2 linked regions of the Struthio camelus genome follow. The protein of the gene in region 1 purifies or fractionates together with the protein of each later gene. This does not show direct contact. Links are inferred from orthologs where the notes say so. Each region holds a gene or a part of one and is shown on either strand. Other genes may lie near its edges.

Region 1 (7,084 bases):
CAGTTCCTCTTCCCTCTCCTTCTTCCTCTGCTGGAAAAAGGAGAGGCTACACATCATTGCTTATAAAAGGGATTCCTTCAAAAAAGAGAGAGGTTTGGAACATTTTGATGGGAATTTGCCTGGACATAACAGTAATTCTGTCTTCTTCCTAGCGAGCTGATGAAAGCTAAATAAGACGCTACCGCAATACAGCTTCAGTGTCCTCTTTTTTTTTTTTTCCCCAGGGTACTGCACAGCTTACCATTTTAAAAAATTGCTAAAGTAGTGATAGAAACAAGTCTAGGATATCAAGAAGACACCTACGTGGGAAAGACCGGAAGAAAGACAACAAAATCTGCAACTATCTGCAGAGAGAAGAACTACCCGTGTGTCAGACCTGAAAGCTTGCAAATACACTTCTCGAGTATACTTAGAATGATGGAAGGCACATCTAGTATAACTTGAAAACGATCTGTGCTAACACGGATATTGCATTTTTCATGTCAAGGACAGAAATAATTCTTCTCACTGGTAGTCCTAATGCTTAGTCTTAGAAGAGCTTATTGTATGAGAAAAACTTGAAGTTGCTGCTTTGTGATGCTACCCCTTTTACGGTGTCAGAGTTGCTCACCTATAATGCTATCACATGAAAAGAGAGTCTCCTTCCCATTCCCGCTCTCCTGTTCAATGCCTTGAGCCAGCCAGTATTAACAATACCAAGGCACAATTTTTCTGTCACAATCTAAAATGGGGATAACTACTGCTGCCATTTTCTCCACTTTTCTAGTGGACATCATTTTCTGTAGGAGCTAGAGTAAAACTGCTGTCTTCCAAACCCCACTATGCTGCTGTTGGTCACCAAGCCTTGCTTGGACAACTGGAACAAATGCATTTAGGCATACAATCTTTGAAAAGCAGGCTACCAGCAGGACAGGTGTTGCCAGATGTCATACTCTTTATACTTTGCTCTAGAGGTGGTCATTTAGAGTTTGAGCCTAGGGCCTGAGCAGCAGGCTCTTACCCACTTCACTGCAGATCTTATCTGGCAGGGGGGTAAAAGCAGTCAGGAGCAAGCTCTTCCCTACCTAGAAAGCCAGTACGGAAAAAGAGACGGCACAGCAAAATTTTGGTTAAAACGCAAACAGGAAGCATTCTGCCTTCTTTCCCATTCTGTATTATGGCCATTTAACACATTCCACAAAGTTAAAACAGGAGTTGACAAATAGGACTTTGTATCAAGTAGCCAAAAAGCAGGACAGTGACATAAATTAACTTTCCCTGCTTAGAAACCCCAAATTTGAAAGTACTAAAATCAATAGTGACTTTATCTGATCTTAAGGCAATGCTCTTTAGAATTCAAGAATATTATTGATGAAAACAGATTTTGATAAAACTATTATTATCTAGATAGCTATTCTAGAGCAGCTGTCAGGAAACGCAATTAGGAAAGAAAGACATTTGCTGTCTATCCCTTTTAAACATGAGGCATGTAATGATTCTCTCTCCATGGTTAGGAGTGCTGTATTTTCAAATACTGGAGCTAACAATGCACATCTAGAACCCCTCTCACGGCAAATATTTTCATTTGCAAATATCTGTTTTTACATACAATAGCTTGCTTTGAATCCAAAAGACCTCTTTTTGACTAGCTTGTGACCCAACTGCATGCAGTCGCTATTTAAAAAAAATGCCAACAACGGCAAAGGATGTCCCAACTCTTTTTTTTTTTTTTTTTCCCCATAAAAATCTTACTGTCAGACTGTATCTAGACTATTTTTACTGAGCTCAGTTCAGCCTAGCTTGTGCGGCCTTAATAACAAAAACATTGGCATCCTTTCTGGATTAGCACAGCACAATTGCATCAGCAATACAGCAAGAACAAAGGTGGAAAACTCTCCAAAATCCTTCGCTGGAGACAAGACCGTAACATTTAATGTTTAAAAGTTCTGAGCTCCTGCAGAGGTCCTTGTTTAGTTACTTTCACCTTGTCAGGTGAAAATCATCTTGTAAACATGGAACCATACTTAGAAGTAATTTCATTCATATTATGTAATTTTACTTGGCCTAGTTGCATGTGTTTAACCTGTGCATCTGATCTAGTTTTGTTGTTAATCCAGTAAGGGCCGCAATGATTACTTATCTCAGAGTTACAGAACTGTAGTGACACCGGTTCATGAGATCATCTAGTCTAGCCTCTTATCCAAAAGCAAGATCTTATATTGCATTTATGCAATACTAACAAGTATTTTTCAAAACTATTCTCAAAAACTTCTGGTAAGAGCCCACATCTCATCAAGACAGTTCCCCATAGTGCTTAGATAGGGATTTTCAACAATTTGAGCTTCCACTGTAACCTAGATCTCCATTGTTATTATTTTAGCTTATGACTTCTTGCCCTACCCACAGTGGACATAAAAGAACAAATTGTTCCTTTCCTCAGAGCAGTAGCCTTTTATGTATTTGGAGACTTACTGCATTTTTCCCTAGTCTTCTCTTTTCTCAACAGCCTCAATAAAAGTCACAGGTTAAAAGACTCTGATCGTATTTTTCACCTCTTTCTCCAAATTATCCCTAATTTTCTTATGTGGAGACCAGGACCGGATATACTCATCTAGCAAAGATTTTATATAGCTCAGTAGAGCTGAACAATTTCTGAGTATGTCTTACTGACGATTTGCTTAATCCTCATAGCCCTGGTGTGGTGTTTGCCTTTTCTGCAACAGCGAGACATTATCGATACCTATTCGGGAAACAGTACAGCTCCTCCATCCTTTCTTGCAGAATAGCCAGCTGCCCAGTTGATCCTGTCCTGTAATTCTGAAGTTGATCATGCTAGTGTACAACTGTTAAAGAACTGCATCCTATTTTTTCATAGAGTTGCTATTCTGAATTCTAGCTCCATGACCATGTACTTATGCTGCCGTTAGACTCGATCTCATGTTCAAATGCAATAATTATAATCTCATCATTGGTGAGTAATGGGCCCAGGGTAGCTCCCAGTAGAAGCACTGATATCAAGTATATTTTTCTCAACTAGTTTTGCAACTCCCTTAGAACAGTATCATCTAGACTGGTTTCCCAGTTTATTATTAGACTATCCTATATGACATGCGCTGCTTCTCCCTTATCTGCAAGCCCTGTTACACTGCCAGAAAAGGAAACTGGACTGGTTCAACCCATTCTTGACAAAGCCATACTGGTTAACGTTCACTTTCTCATTTCCTTCCAGATGCTTATAAATTTTTTATTTTTTCCTGGGACTAGAAATTAAGCTTACTACTCTATGGCCCCCCCAGCATATCTCAGAGTCACTCATCTCTCCCTACTGCATGCCTCAAAGACAACAAAGTTTGTAAGTTTTACAGAAGCCAAATCATCAGACCCCAAATGGCAGGCAACTTCTCTAGGGAATTAAGAGTAGGGCAAAGAACTGCAACTGCATTTCTTTCTATATTCCAGCCAGATAGGAGGGAAGGTCCTAGAGCTCCTGAAGACCCAGGAAGGGACTGTTAACGCCTGCACTAAGAGGTTCTTTTTCTTTCTTTTCACCAATCCTTTGGTCTCCAAGAGGGAGGAAAGCAGGGAAGGCGTAGCACTCTGCTTTTCCAGAACCTGAAGAAGTCAAAATTATCAAGCTCACAAATCCCACTGCCTCCACCTCTCGGCTCTAGGGCTCTCCTCACACCCTGACAGGCCCACACAGCCACCCAGCAAGCCGCAGCGGCCTCGGCGCCTTCACACACCCCCAAGGCTCCAGGCCAGGAGACGCCGGGTCTCCTGCCCCCTCTAGCAGATGTAGACATGGTCTCCTTCACCTCACGAGGCTAAAAAACACCAAGACCGACAAAATCACTCTCTTAACGCTTCTCCCATACTCACTAAAATACTCCCCAAAACACCCCCCTCCTCCCCGGGGAGCAGCAGCCGCCCCCGACACCACCCACCCCCTCGCGGCGCCTGCGCGCTCCCCGCGGCGCATGCGCCCTCCTCCCCCCACCACGGCCGCCTTTGTGTGCGGCGCTCGCCCGACGCCCGTGGGGCGTGGCCCCCGTCCCGCGCAGGCGCAGAGCGACCACCCGGCTCCCTCCCCACCCTTCCCCGGCTTCCCCCGCCCCTGCAGCGCGGCGGCGGCGCAGGCGCAGCCCGCGGGGCGGGCGGCGGGCGGCGCGCAGGCGCAGAGCGCGTTTCCTGGCTCCCTTGTCAGTGCCGGGCCGCCCCCTTCCCCCCTTTCCCCCCTCCCTTTCGGCCTCCGCCGCCGGCCGCTCCCTCTGCCGCCGCTCGGAGCGGAGTCGCGTTGACTGACCAGAGTCCGCGAGTCCCGCTCCGCTCCCGCCGCCTCAGGTGAGCCCCGCGCCGCGGGTGGCTGTCCGCGGCGGCCTGCCACGCGCGGAGGGGGGCGGAGGAGGGGGGGCCTGCCGGTGCCGCGGGGATGGCGGAGGAGGAGGAGGAGGGAGATTCACCTCAGCGCGGGCCTGCCCGGGGGGGGGGAGGGGAGGGGCGCGCTCCCCCCCCCCTCCCGCCGCCGAGAAGGGGGGAGGGGGGACGCCCTTGTGGCGCCGGCGCCGCGCGTCGCCCTGAGGGGACGGGGCGCCCGGGCGGTGGATGGGGCCGCGGTAGGCGGCCGCCGGGGAGGGGGTGAGGGGCGGGGGTGGGCTCGGCGCTCGGCTCTCTCCCGGTCGAGCAGTGGTGTTGTCAGCGCGGGCAGGGCCGCCGGCAGCCATCCCGAGCCGGTCGGCTTTGTCAGGCTGATGGTGTGCCGTGCCTGCGGGGAGCGACCCCCCACGGGAGAGCAGCGCTGCGGGGACTGGGACGGGGATGACAGCGGTAGGAGGCAGCCCTTAATTATAGGCGCTTCTCTGCCAGATGTTTGCAGATGATGTCGGCGCTCTGAAAATAGGCAAGGATTAAAAAGTTATCTCTCTGTCTCTCTCCGTCTCTCAGACGTGCGCACACACGTGCTATCTCAGATTCCAAACCCCAGTCCTTGCTGGTTGCTTGGCCCGGGGTAGCCTTATACCGCACATTTTTTACCCCGTTGAGGAATGACAGCAGCTGAGTCCCGTCTTTCCCAACCACCACCCTTTCAGCCTGCATGCCCAAGAAGCTTGTGCTGTACAAGCATACAACATTTCCATTTTTTTTTTGCACTGAAACTCAAGGACAGTTACTCTGCATTTGACAAAAAAAAATTAGGGATAGCTACCCTAAGTACCTTGCTGACAAAGTTAGCTTAAGAGCACCTTTTTCCTATGTGAGATCCTGAGATTGGCTGCAGGAGGATATTAAGGTTTTTACTACCTATCAATTGTATCAAGATTCACAGAGAGAGTTGTGTTTTCTGTAGTGAAGTGTGAGTTTGATTTTGTCTGCGCGTTGATAAGGAATAAATATAGCTGGAAGATTTCATTACGATGTATCTTCCTAAAGAAAAAAAAAAACTGCAAGTTCAGACAGGAGAACTAGTAGTGCTTTTTGAGGTTATCATCATTATTGTTTTTTATAAGTTTGTTACCAAACCAAAAGAGGAAGCTGTCACTTGCTACAGGTTATGGTGCTTGAGAAACTCTATCAGTGGGCAAGGATGGATCATATCTCCTGTCTAGATACAAGTTTTTGGAACAGCCAGTGGGTTAGAAAGTAAAAATCCCTGAACTAGGTATTATTAGGATGAGACTGTGCCTTTTATACATAGTGCCAATCTGTGCAGAAAATACCAGGGCTGTATTAGAAAGTGCTTTGAAATAGCTACATTCCTTGGGGAGGGGGGAGAATTAGATGTTTTTAAATTTTTATTTCGGAAAGAGTAGAAAAAGCTGAGCATTCCTTGTTGGTAGAACAGCTCTTCAACTTTTCCTGTATATGGAAATGTACTGCTACTGCATGTTGGCAAGTACGAAAGCAAGATCGTGGAAAACGCAATTCACAGACATGTTTTGCTTACATTAACACATGGAATCTCAAATCATGGCTGTCCAAGGTCAAAGGTAACTCAGATTATGTCAACAAGCTCACATTAATTGAAAAAAATTATTTTGCTTAGCACTGCATATATTTAATAGCTTAGTTTGGTTTGCAGAATATGATTATTAGGAGAATCATGAAATTAGTGTCAGTTAAAATTAGGAATTGGACTTAAAGCTCATGTAGTTGAAAGTTATGATTGAAGTACACTTCCAATGCAATTGGGAGTCGTGTTTCTTTAAGTTTAAAACAGCAGTGCATGATTTCTTTAGAGAAGAGTCTTTTCACCCCTTTGCATTAATGAGGTGCTATGTCATCTCTACTTCAGGATTCAGCACTTTCTGTGTATTTGATATACTAGTGCTGTGATAGTAATTGCTAAACTCAGTAAGAACTTGCTCATCTTTCATTCACTCCTCAGTTTCTATTGAATTGCCATTCATTTCCTGTTTGCCTCCAAATTCCTACCTTGCCCTGAAGTCTCCACCCTCTGCTAACATGGCCATACTTGGGTATGTTGTAATTTCAGGCTATAATGGGTGTGGATGTCTTGGAATGACACCACAGAGGTTTTTCTTTTTAGATGTAGATGTAGAGGTAAAAGACTTTGATCCATCAGCCAAGAATAAATTGCTATGAAATATAGTGGAATATACAGAAGGAGGATGGAATTGGCAAATCTAAGTTGTATGTGCTGAACTATGCACATTTTAATTATTATAGGTGACCTTGAGCTGCTGTGATGTTATCTTCCATCCATTTATGCTGCCATTGATTAATGCGAGACATAGAATATGATATGAAATTTTAAACAGCTTTGCACCTCCAGTTGCAGATGTTCAGGGCCATCTCTTCTGATGTAGTTATAAGTTAAAGAAAAAACTGGGTAGCTAGTTTTTTTTTCCCCCAAAGTATTGACAAACTAGACTAATTTAGCTTGTTCTCTTAGTGTTTAAATCTCATGGGGAAGAAAACATAACTATAGAACAGTTAAGTGCATGTATTAATTTGAAGAAATTAGTAATTAATTACTGTTTTTTGTAATTTTTCCCTAGGATACATGTGAATAGTTTTATCAAATAATATGTCAGCAAATTATAGTTGTCTATGAATGTTCTGGACATGTCAATTTAATCTCCTGACA
Region 2 (7,868 bases), on another chromosome or scaffold:
TATACACCTTGCTTTTAACACTAATAATTCAATGAATTTGTACATCTTTCTGAGGAAGCCAAGAGTTCAACATCATGTATTTTTGCAAATATTTGCTATACACCAAAAAATGTTTTAAGAACAGCTACTTAGTTTGCCTGTACACAAGACCACATATGTAAGAAGTTTTACCATATATAGTTTCTTCTCCATCGCACTGTGGTTTTATACCGACTCTTTCACTTCCTACTGAGTCATCAAACAGTAAGAACTTGTACGTATAAGTATTCTTTCAAACGAAAAGAATGAGGAAGCTTTCTACATCTGCTCACAAACATGTCACATGAAAAGTCTTAAAATGGATAATATTATTCTTATCAGGACTCTTTACTTGATTTTTTTAATTGATGCAACTCTCAAAAAAAGATTTTAAATATAATTAGAAAACTATCCAGATCATAAAGTAACTTATCATTTGACCTAGACCAGTAAGAACATTCATCTCAAACGCTCCAAGATGGCATCGCCAGCTTCCCTCTCTTACACTGTGTGTTGCAAGAACACACTTCTTGGTCACTTGTTCCTCAAAGACTGATTGCAGTCAAATACATTAAAAACTCATATTTCAGCATGACAAGAACAGTAAGTTTCAAAAGAAGCCGAAAGTTAAAACTGAGTCTAAAATTCCTGCATTTTTATTTCCGGCACTTGGCAAGAGATTTAACTTTAGTCATGGTTTAAGTAAGACATATCACAGTGTATCAGACACTATTCTAATGTAAAGCAGCTCTTCTTTACCATATAACAATGTTTACTATAAAAATGCTGGTTTGGCAATACAGGACTTGATATTCTCAGTATACAGGTGGAGTCTGAAAGACGTATGGATCTTATGAACTGAATTTTCTTCTGGTGTACTTACCCCAATTCAATTTGAATATTTTAAGTTTACAGATTTAACAACAACCATTTCTTCATACTTTGCACTAGCACACAGTCATCTCTGGGGCCAGGGGATGGCCATACATGCATTGTTCTGCTTAGAGGTAAAACTCAACCCAAAACAACAGAAGTTGAAGTGACACAGACCCCTACTCCAGGCACTGTAACTGCAGTATAACAGTATTTGTCGTATTTGTTTATATCCAGGTGGTACAATTCATGGAGAAAAAAATATATCAGATGTCTCTTTGATTTAAAAAGACACACAGATATGTCTCACTGCACAAAAATCGTGTCCCAACTACAGCTTGCAAAACTGCATAAAAATAACCGCTTCTGTCCCATGTTTCATCCCTGAGATCGACTACAGTATGACATTATGGTCACTATCTATATGTTAAACATTTTAAAACAATATTTTTATACTTTTTTATACCTTTTAAAGCCATTCATTGCTACGTAAAAGGCTGTATTAAAGGATCAAATCCTGAAATTACATAAATTTCCAACAAAGGTGACAGTATGAGCATTAAACACTTAAAAAAAACAACCAACCAACAGAACCCTGCCTCCATGTCCATTTGTAAATGGAAAACGATAAATCGCCTCTTTTTCTTTCCTTTGTGTAAATGATATTGCAAAAAAGGCCCAAAGGCTTTCTACCTCAGCACTTACTCAAAAGAATCTTTCTAGAGGAGGAAAAAGAGGAAGACTTCAGAACTGTCAAATCCGATGTTCTGCTTTTTGAATCATTCTAATCATTTCAGATGCTTACTGGAAATGCCTTAATTCATGTGGCAGGGTGTTGAACCTCTTACAGTGACGTTCTTTGTTTCAACTATTCAATCTTTAGCTTTAAATATTTTAATCTTTATTCAAAGTGTTTATTAAAAAATACTTCTTTTTTTGCCATTCGAGAGTTCTTGACAACCTGTCAGCTTTGTTAACTCCCCTGATAATATTGCTTTTCTGGGGGGAAAAATTTCAATTGCTAAACAAAATTACTAAGGCGGAAATTCACCTATAACATCTTATCTGATGCCTTTAAAATGGTATCTTTGTCACTTCCTGTTGAGGCACCTCAAAGCCTCCATAACACTAACAAAAGAACAAATTTATAGTGTGCACGTGCATGTTCACGTAGGGCAGGAAAGGTGAAAGGAAGAGGAGGAAAGCTTTGGCGCCCTCTTTATCCACGACTCCCAATTCGGTGAATTTTGCAGGTCATAAAGCTATTAATGAAAGGACCCCGCTGCCTTTTAACCACAAGCTGCATGACATGCTTCCGTGAAACCAAAAAACTCGCATTACAGAGGGCGCATCTCTGCCTGCCTAAATGCGAAACGGATAAACTGAGCGTTCCGATTAAAAATAAAAAAAAAATAAAATAAAACCGTATTTTCTGCTTGGTACTCCTTACTAAAGGGAAACCCGCTAAAGTCATATATAGGAATACAATACGCGTAATAAAATTGCCACGATGCTGGGGGACGGGCACAGATAGAGACCCGACGGCAGTAAATACCGAGGTACTACCGCTTCCCGGGTGCAAGGACTCAAATGCCCCTTTTCGCTCGCTCCGGCTCAAAGGACACCGGCCGCCAGCCGCCGCAGGGCCCGACTTCCCCTGCCGACCTCCCCCGGCCCATTCATTCAGCGCGCCGCCGCCGCCGCTGCGCGGCTCGCTGCGCGCCCGGAGGCCGGCGCGGGCGGAGGGCCGAGGGCGCGCGGATCCCGTCGGCCCCGGGAGCCTCCCCCGCCCGGTGCACGGGCGGCCGCAGGGGCCCCGCTCCGCCGCGGCGAGCTCTGGAGGCCCCGGGGCGGCGCAGGCCGGGCGCGGCCCGCTGCCGGGCCCCGGGCGTGCCGGCAGGAAGCCGGGCCGGGAGGGGAGTCGCCCTGCTTCTCCCCCCGCGGCGGCGGCGGCAGGGCGGGTCCCGGGGCCGGAGCGACTCACCCCGGTGCCGTTGTCGCACACCACCACCTTCCTGCCTAGCGTGTCCATGCCGCCACCGAGCAACCGCCACCCCAACCGTCACTGCCGCCGCCGCCGCCCCAACCGTCGCCGCCGCCGCCGCCGCCGCGCCCCCCGCCCCGCCGCGCGCGCCGGAAGCCGTCACCGCGCGGCCCCGCCCAATCAGCGCCGCCGCCGCGCGGCCCCGCCCAATCAGAGCCGCCGGCAGGCCGCCACCGCCCGCCCCTTCCCCCCCCGCCGCGTTGCCATGGCGGCGGCCCGCGGCCCCCTCACAGCCGCCGGCCCGCGGCCCCGCCAGCCCGTCCGCCGCCGCCCCTCGCCCCAGCCTCCTACCCGGCCGGGTAGGCCCGGAAAAGAGCCGGATAATGCTCCTTTTCTTCTCCTTTCCAGCCGGCCCTTCTCCGCCACGCGGGGGCCGAGCCGTTCCCCGGGCGCCGCCGGGCCGCCTCGCCCCGTAATGGCGGAGGGGGGTTTCTGGGCCGCCCTCGGTCATCTGGGCCCTCGCGGCCAGGCGGATCGGCTTCGTCTGCCCCTCGGAGTGCCCCGGCGTGCTGTGAGAGGAGCCGGCTGGCACCCAGCCACCCCGCTGCCCTCGGGCAGGGCAGGCCCTTCCTCCCCGGAGAGCTGTCGGCTGCTCCGGAGCCGCTTTCTGCCTGCTCTCGTCCTTCCCACTTTCCTATTTTACGCGGGATCCGTTAGCCAGGCCGCGTTTTTATATAACGACATTAAATCACGCCGCTGTTAAATTTACGGAGCCACTCGTCGTCGATACTGCGTTATTTTTACGGTTAACTGCTCTTAAGCAGCTTTTGCTCTCCCGCGTTTACATTAGCCCATCAAACAGGATGCCCTTCCCAAGCGGTTTGCCTTCTTCCATGGGCTCCGAATAGAGGAAAGAGCAAATACAGTCTCTCAGTTTGCCTCTGATAGCCTGGTGCCATTTTCCTTGCCTTTCCCCAAACCCTACGGACTTCCAGGCGACTCGAGAGATGAGGGGCGTATGCTAATTTTTTACTTCTGTGGCACTAGCTGTGTCAATCCTATATGAACAACAGCACGTTTTAATTAGACATAGCAGAAACTATGTCAGCACAATGATTTCTGTGTTCAGGTTGCAGATAAATAATGGCTGTTGCTGTGTGTGTGTGGTTTTTTTTTTTTTTTTTTTTTTTGCTTTGGAGTCTACAGACTAGTGGGAACAGTAAGAAATTTTTTAAAAATCAGAATATGCATAATATTTGACTTTTTTTTTTTTTTACTTTAATGATGTTCAGATATTGAGAATGATGAGAAGACATGGCATTATCTAGTAGGACGAGGAGGCTATCCAAACAAAGATGGAGAAATCCAGTCCAATATAGCTGTAATGGAAGGACTTCCTGGTTGCTGTGGAGCAGTAGCAGCCTCACCTGGGTATGAACTGCACTCTACTACGAGTGTGTTGAACATTCATTTTAGGTTTTCTTCAGTGCATGATGTTTTGATGCTGATAAAAGTGAAGGATTTACGTTGTTGGTTAAAGCCAGGTACAAAAAGCAATGGCTTTAAAAGCCTGCTCTTGGTCCAGAAACATTAGTTAGTCTGTATAACTCAAATCACTCGGCTTGTTCAGCTCAGCTTAGACGGCTCAGACATGGGAACTAGCTCCTGTTTATTGCTCTGATGTTAGACTTGCTGTAAATTCTGGACAGATCACTTAACCTGCCAAGCTGCCCTGGCCTCAGTTTCAGTAAGCTGGGTATGATACCATGCCATACCATACACATGCCCATTAATAAGGAACTTGACCCATCAGTGAATGAAAAATGCTGCAGTTTGTATTCTAATCGTCTGTTGATTTGTCAGGCAGAAGGCTTCAGTGATGTCTCCTTATGTAGAATGATGGCAAAATACAGTCTGTTCTGAGGCAAACTGGATTTTTAACTTGGGAGGCCTGAAGGAAAAAAAACTCAAAATGCATTAGCTAACTTTTCTGAGATTAGATATTCACTAGGTCCCTATAAATATGCTTAAGATTTTAATTTGATTATGATAACACAGATCCCCCGTCACTTTTATTATATGATCCCTTTTCTAAGGGGATGCTGGCTATTAATTAAAGAAAAATCTGAATTGTAAAGGGTTAGTTTGAGAAGTGCAGTCAGAACTTACAGTGTCATTAAAGCCACTCAAGAGACAGTGACATTAAGTCTGCCCGATCACTGCAAAATCAGTAGTTAATTTGCTGCATCTAGCGTAGCATGTAAGACCGCATCAAAGGGATGCAAGTTCTGTAACGGAAATAGGCCTATTAAGGAGGAACTTATGTACTGCACAGTATAGTCATTAGATCCATCACTGTACTCGCTACCAGCTATTGCTGTCAGTTGTTGGATAGCCTTAAAAGATTTTTGGTGTTTTATCGAAGGTCACATACAATGCAGGAAAGGAAATACAATGTGTTTTGAACTTAACTGTATTTTTGAGCTTATTTACCTGCTTAAATTGAACAGAGATACTGCTTCATGTTCAAAAGTAAAAAAAAAAAAAAAAGTATTAAGGTTGCAGAGCATGGCAGGAACCTTCTTAGAGTAAGGAGAGAAGTTGTAGTGTGGTCAGTATTTGTCAGAGCCCTTTACTATGAGCAGGATAATGGAGAATGTCTTCTCCGTGCCAGTGTGTCCACTGTTGTATCAATGGAGAATGAGATCTGTTCTCTGCGTTAGGGGCATTGAGGAACAGCACAAAGCCAGAGAGATTCTGTGACGTATCTGTATTTGTGAAGTGCTTGAACCATGCTGAAAGTACAATATATTTATTAATGCATCAAAGTAGCAGGTTTAATTAAACTACCTCCAAGATATACAGGGACTGGTATATCTTTTGTAGATCAGTCATACAATGCAAAGATATATTGGAGGGGAAAGCTTAAAAATCAGGGAATTTATGAGAAAAAACGTAGGGTACTGTGTACATGTGAATTGCCTTCTCTGTATATATCCTGCATGTATTCCATTCTGTGCATATTCCAGTTAGTGCAACCTGCTCAGAAGGTAGTAAAGCAAAATGCAAGCGTATCAGAAAATAATAGATAAAAATATTTTTTTATATTTTTGGAGTCTAACAGTTTGGGGTATATACTCCATAATCTAGTTTTCTTCTGTTGCTCTTAAAGTACTGGAGAGAACTATCCACGCTTTCCTAATAGGAGATGGTGCTGTATCTTTTGCGGGAGAGCAGGACTTCATGATAGCCTTGTCACTCCAGCCTTCAAAAAGGGCAAGAAGGAGCCAGGAAACTACAGGCCTGTCAGCCTCACCTCCCTCCCTGGAAAGGTGATGGAACAGCTCATCCTGGAGGTCCTCACTAAGCATCTGGAGGACAAGAAGGGGATCAGGAGTAGTCAGCATGGATTCACCCAAGGGAAATCATGCTTGACCAATCTGATAGCCTTCTCTGATGGAATGACTGGCTGGGTAGATGAGGGCAGGGCAGTGGCTGTTGTCTGCCTGGACTTCAGCAAGGCTTTTGACGCTGTCTCCCATCACATCCTCATGGGTAAGCTCAGGAAGTGTGGGTTGGATGAGTGGACAGCGAGGTGGATTGAGAACTGGCTGGATGGCCGAGCTCAGAGGATTGTGGTCAGTGGTGCAGTCTAGCTGGAGGCCTGTAGCTAGCGATGTCCCCCAGGGATCAGTGCTGGGTCCAGTCTTGTTCAATATATTCATCAATGACCTGGATGAAGGGACCGAGTGCACCCTCAGCAAGTTTGCTGCCGATACTAAACTGGGGGGAGTGGCTGACACACCAGAAGACTGTGCTGCCATTCCGAGGGACCTGGACAGGCTGGAGAGCTGGGCAGAGAGGAACCTCCTGAAGTTCAACATAGGCAAGTGCAGGGTCCTGCACCTAGGCAGGAATAACCCCATGCAGCAGTACAGGCTGGGGGTTGACCTGCTGGAAAGCAGCTCTGTGGAGAAGGACCTGGGAGTGCTGGTGGACAACAAGTTAAGCATGAGCCAGCAATGTGCCCTTGTGGCCAAGAAGGCCAATGGTATCCTTTGTGTTGAGTGTTGCCAGCAGGTTGAGGGAGGTGATCCTGCCCCTCTGCTCAGCCCTGGGGAGGCCTCACCTGGAGTACTGTGTCCGATTCTGGGCTCCCCAGTACTGGAGCGAGTCTGGTAGAGGGCTACAAAGACGATTAGGGGACTGGAGCATCTCTCCTCTGAAGAAAGGCTGAGAGAGCTGGGCCTGTTGAGCCTGGAGAAGAGAAGACAGAGGGGATCTGATCCATGTGTACAAGTATCTGAAGGGGGGGGTGCTGAGAGGATGAGGCCAGTCTCTTCTCCGTGGTGCCCAGCAACAGGACAAGAGGCAACGGGCACAAACTGCAACACAGGCAGGTCCATCTGAACCTGAGGAAAAACTTCTTGACTGTGAGGGTGACAGAGCCCTGGCACAGGTTGCCCAGAGAGGTTGTGGAGTCTCCTTTGCTGGAGATATTCAAAACCCGCCTGGACGTGATCCTGGGCAACGTGCTCTAGAGGTCCCTGCTTCAGTAGGGGAGTTGGACTAGATGATCTCCAGAGGTCCCTTCCAACCTCAACCATTCTGTGAAATTCTGTGAAATAGCAGATAATAAAAGCATGATGACTAAGCAGAGTGCTGAAAGCTTATCAGGTAAAGTACTGCATCTATCTTCTGCTGAGAGGGATACATTTTTATGAACTTGCCGAACAAGTGATCTATGCTTATCCTGATGTGTAGGCATAGAGAAACCATATGCACAGAGGCAGGAATGACTCAGAACGGAAAGAGAAGAATGAGTTATTGGGACAGCTGTCCCAGACGTCTGCTCGGTATAGCAGAAGAAGGAGGGTCTAGGAGGAACAGATGACATCTCTTCTGCATCTGGTCAGCCTTAGAAATGTTCTTAGTTCTATCACAAGGCAGCCTGGAGAGTCTAAAAGCACAGCAAATAGTGCTTTTCTAGACC

The links. Proteins that work in one complex are often made in the same cells at the same time.
Region 2: the proteins of ARPC1A (region 1) and ACTR2 purify together in Homo sapiens (affinity purification with mass spectrometry; 9 studies listed by BioGRID and IntAct, counting the BioPlex papers as one, with this or other methods). This does not show direct contact. The link is inferred for Struthio camelus from reciprocal best matches to the Homo sapiens genes ARPC1A and ACTR2.

Annotation. Positions count from the first base shown.
Region 1 is NC_090956.1:4,596,084-4,603,167, reverse strand, and holds the start of ARPC1A (actin-related protein 2/3 complex subunit 1A), read left to right. Parts: upstream 1-4,069; 5' UTR 4,070-4,320; intron 4,321-7,084. UniProt on the Homo sapiens protein: Probably functions as a component of the Arp2/3 complex which is involved in regulation of actin polymerization and together with an activating nucleation-promoting factor (NPF) mediates the formation of branched actin networks.
Region 2 is NC_090944.1:141,298,144-141,306,011, reverse strand, and holds the start of ACTR2 (actin-related protein 2), read right to left. Parts: upstream 3,012-7,868; 5' UTR 2,924-3,011; coding exon 2,876-2,923; intron 2,556-2,875; exon of another isoform or gene 2,447-2,555; intron 1-2,446. UniProt on the Homo sapiens protein: ATP-binding component of the Arp2/3 complex, a multiprotein complex that mediates actin polymerization upon stimulation by nucleation-promoting factor (NPF).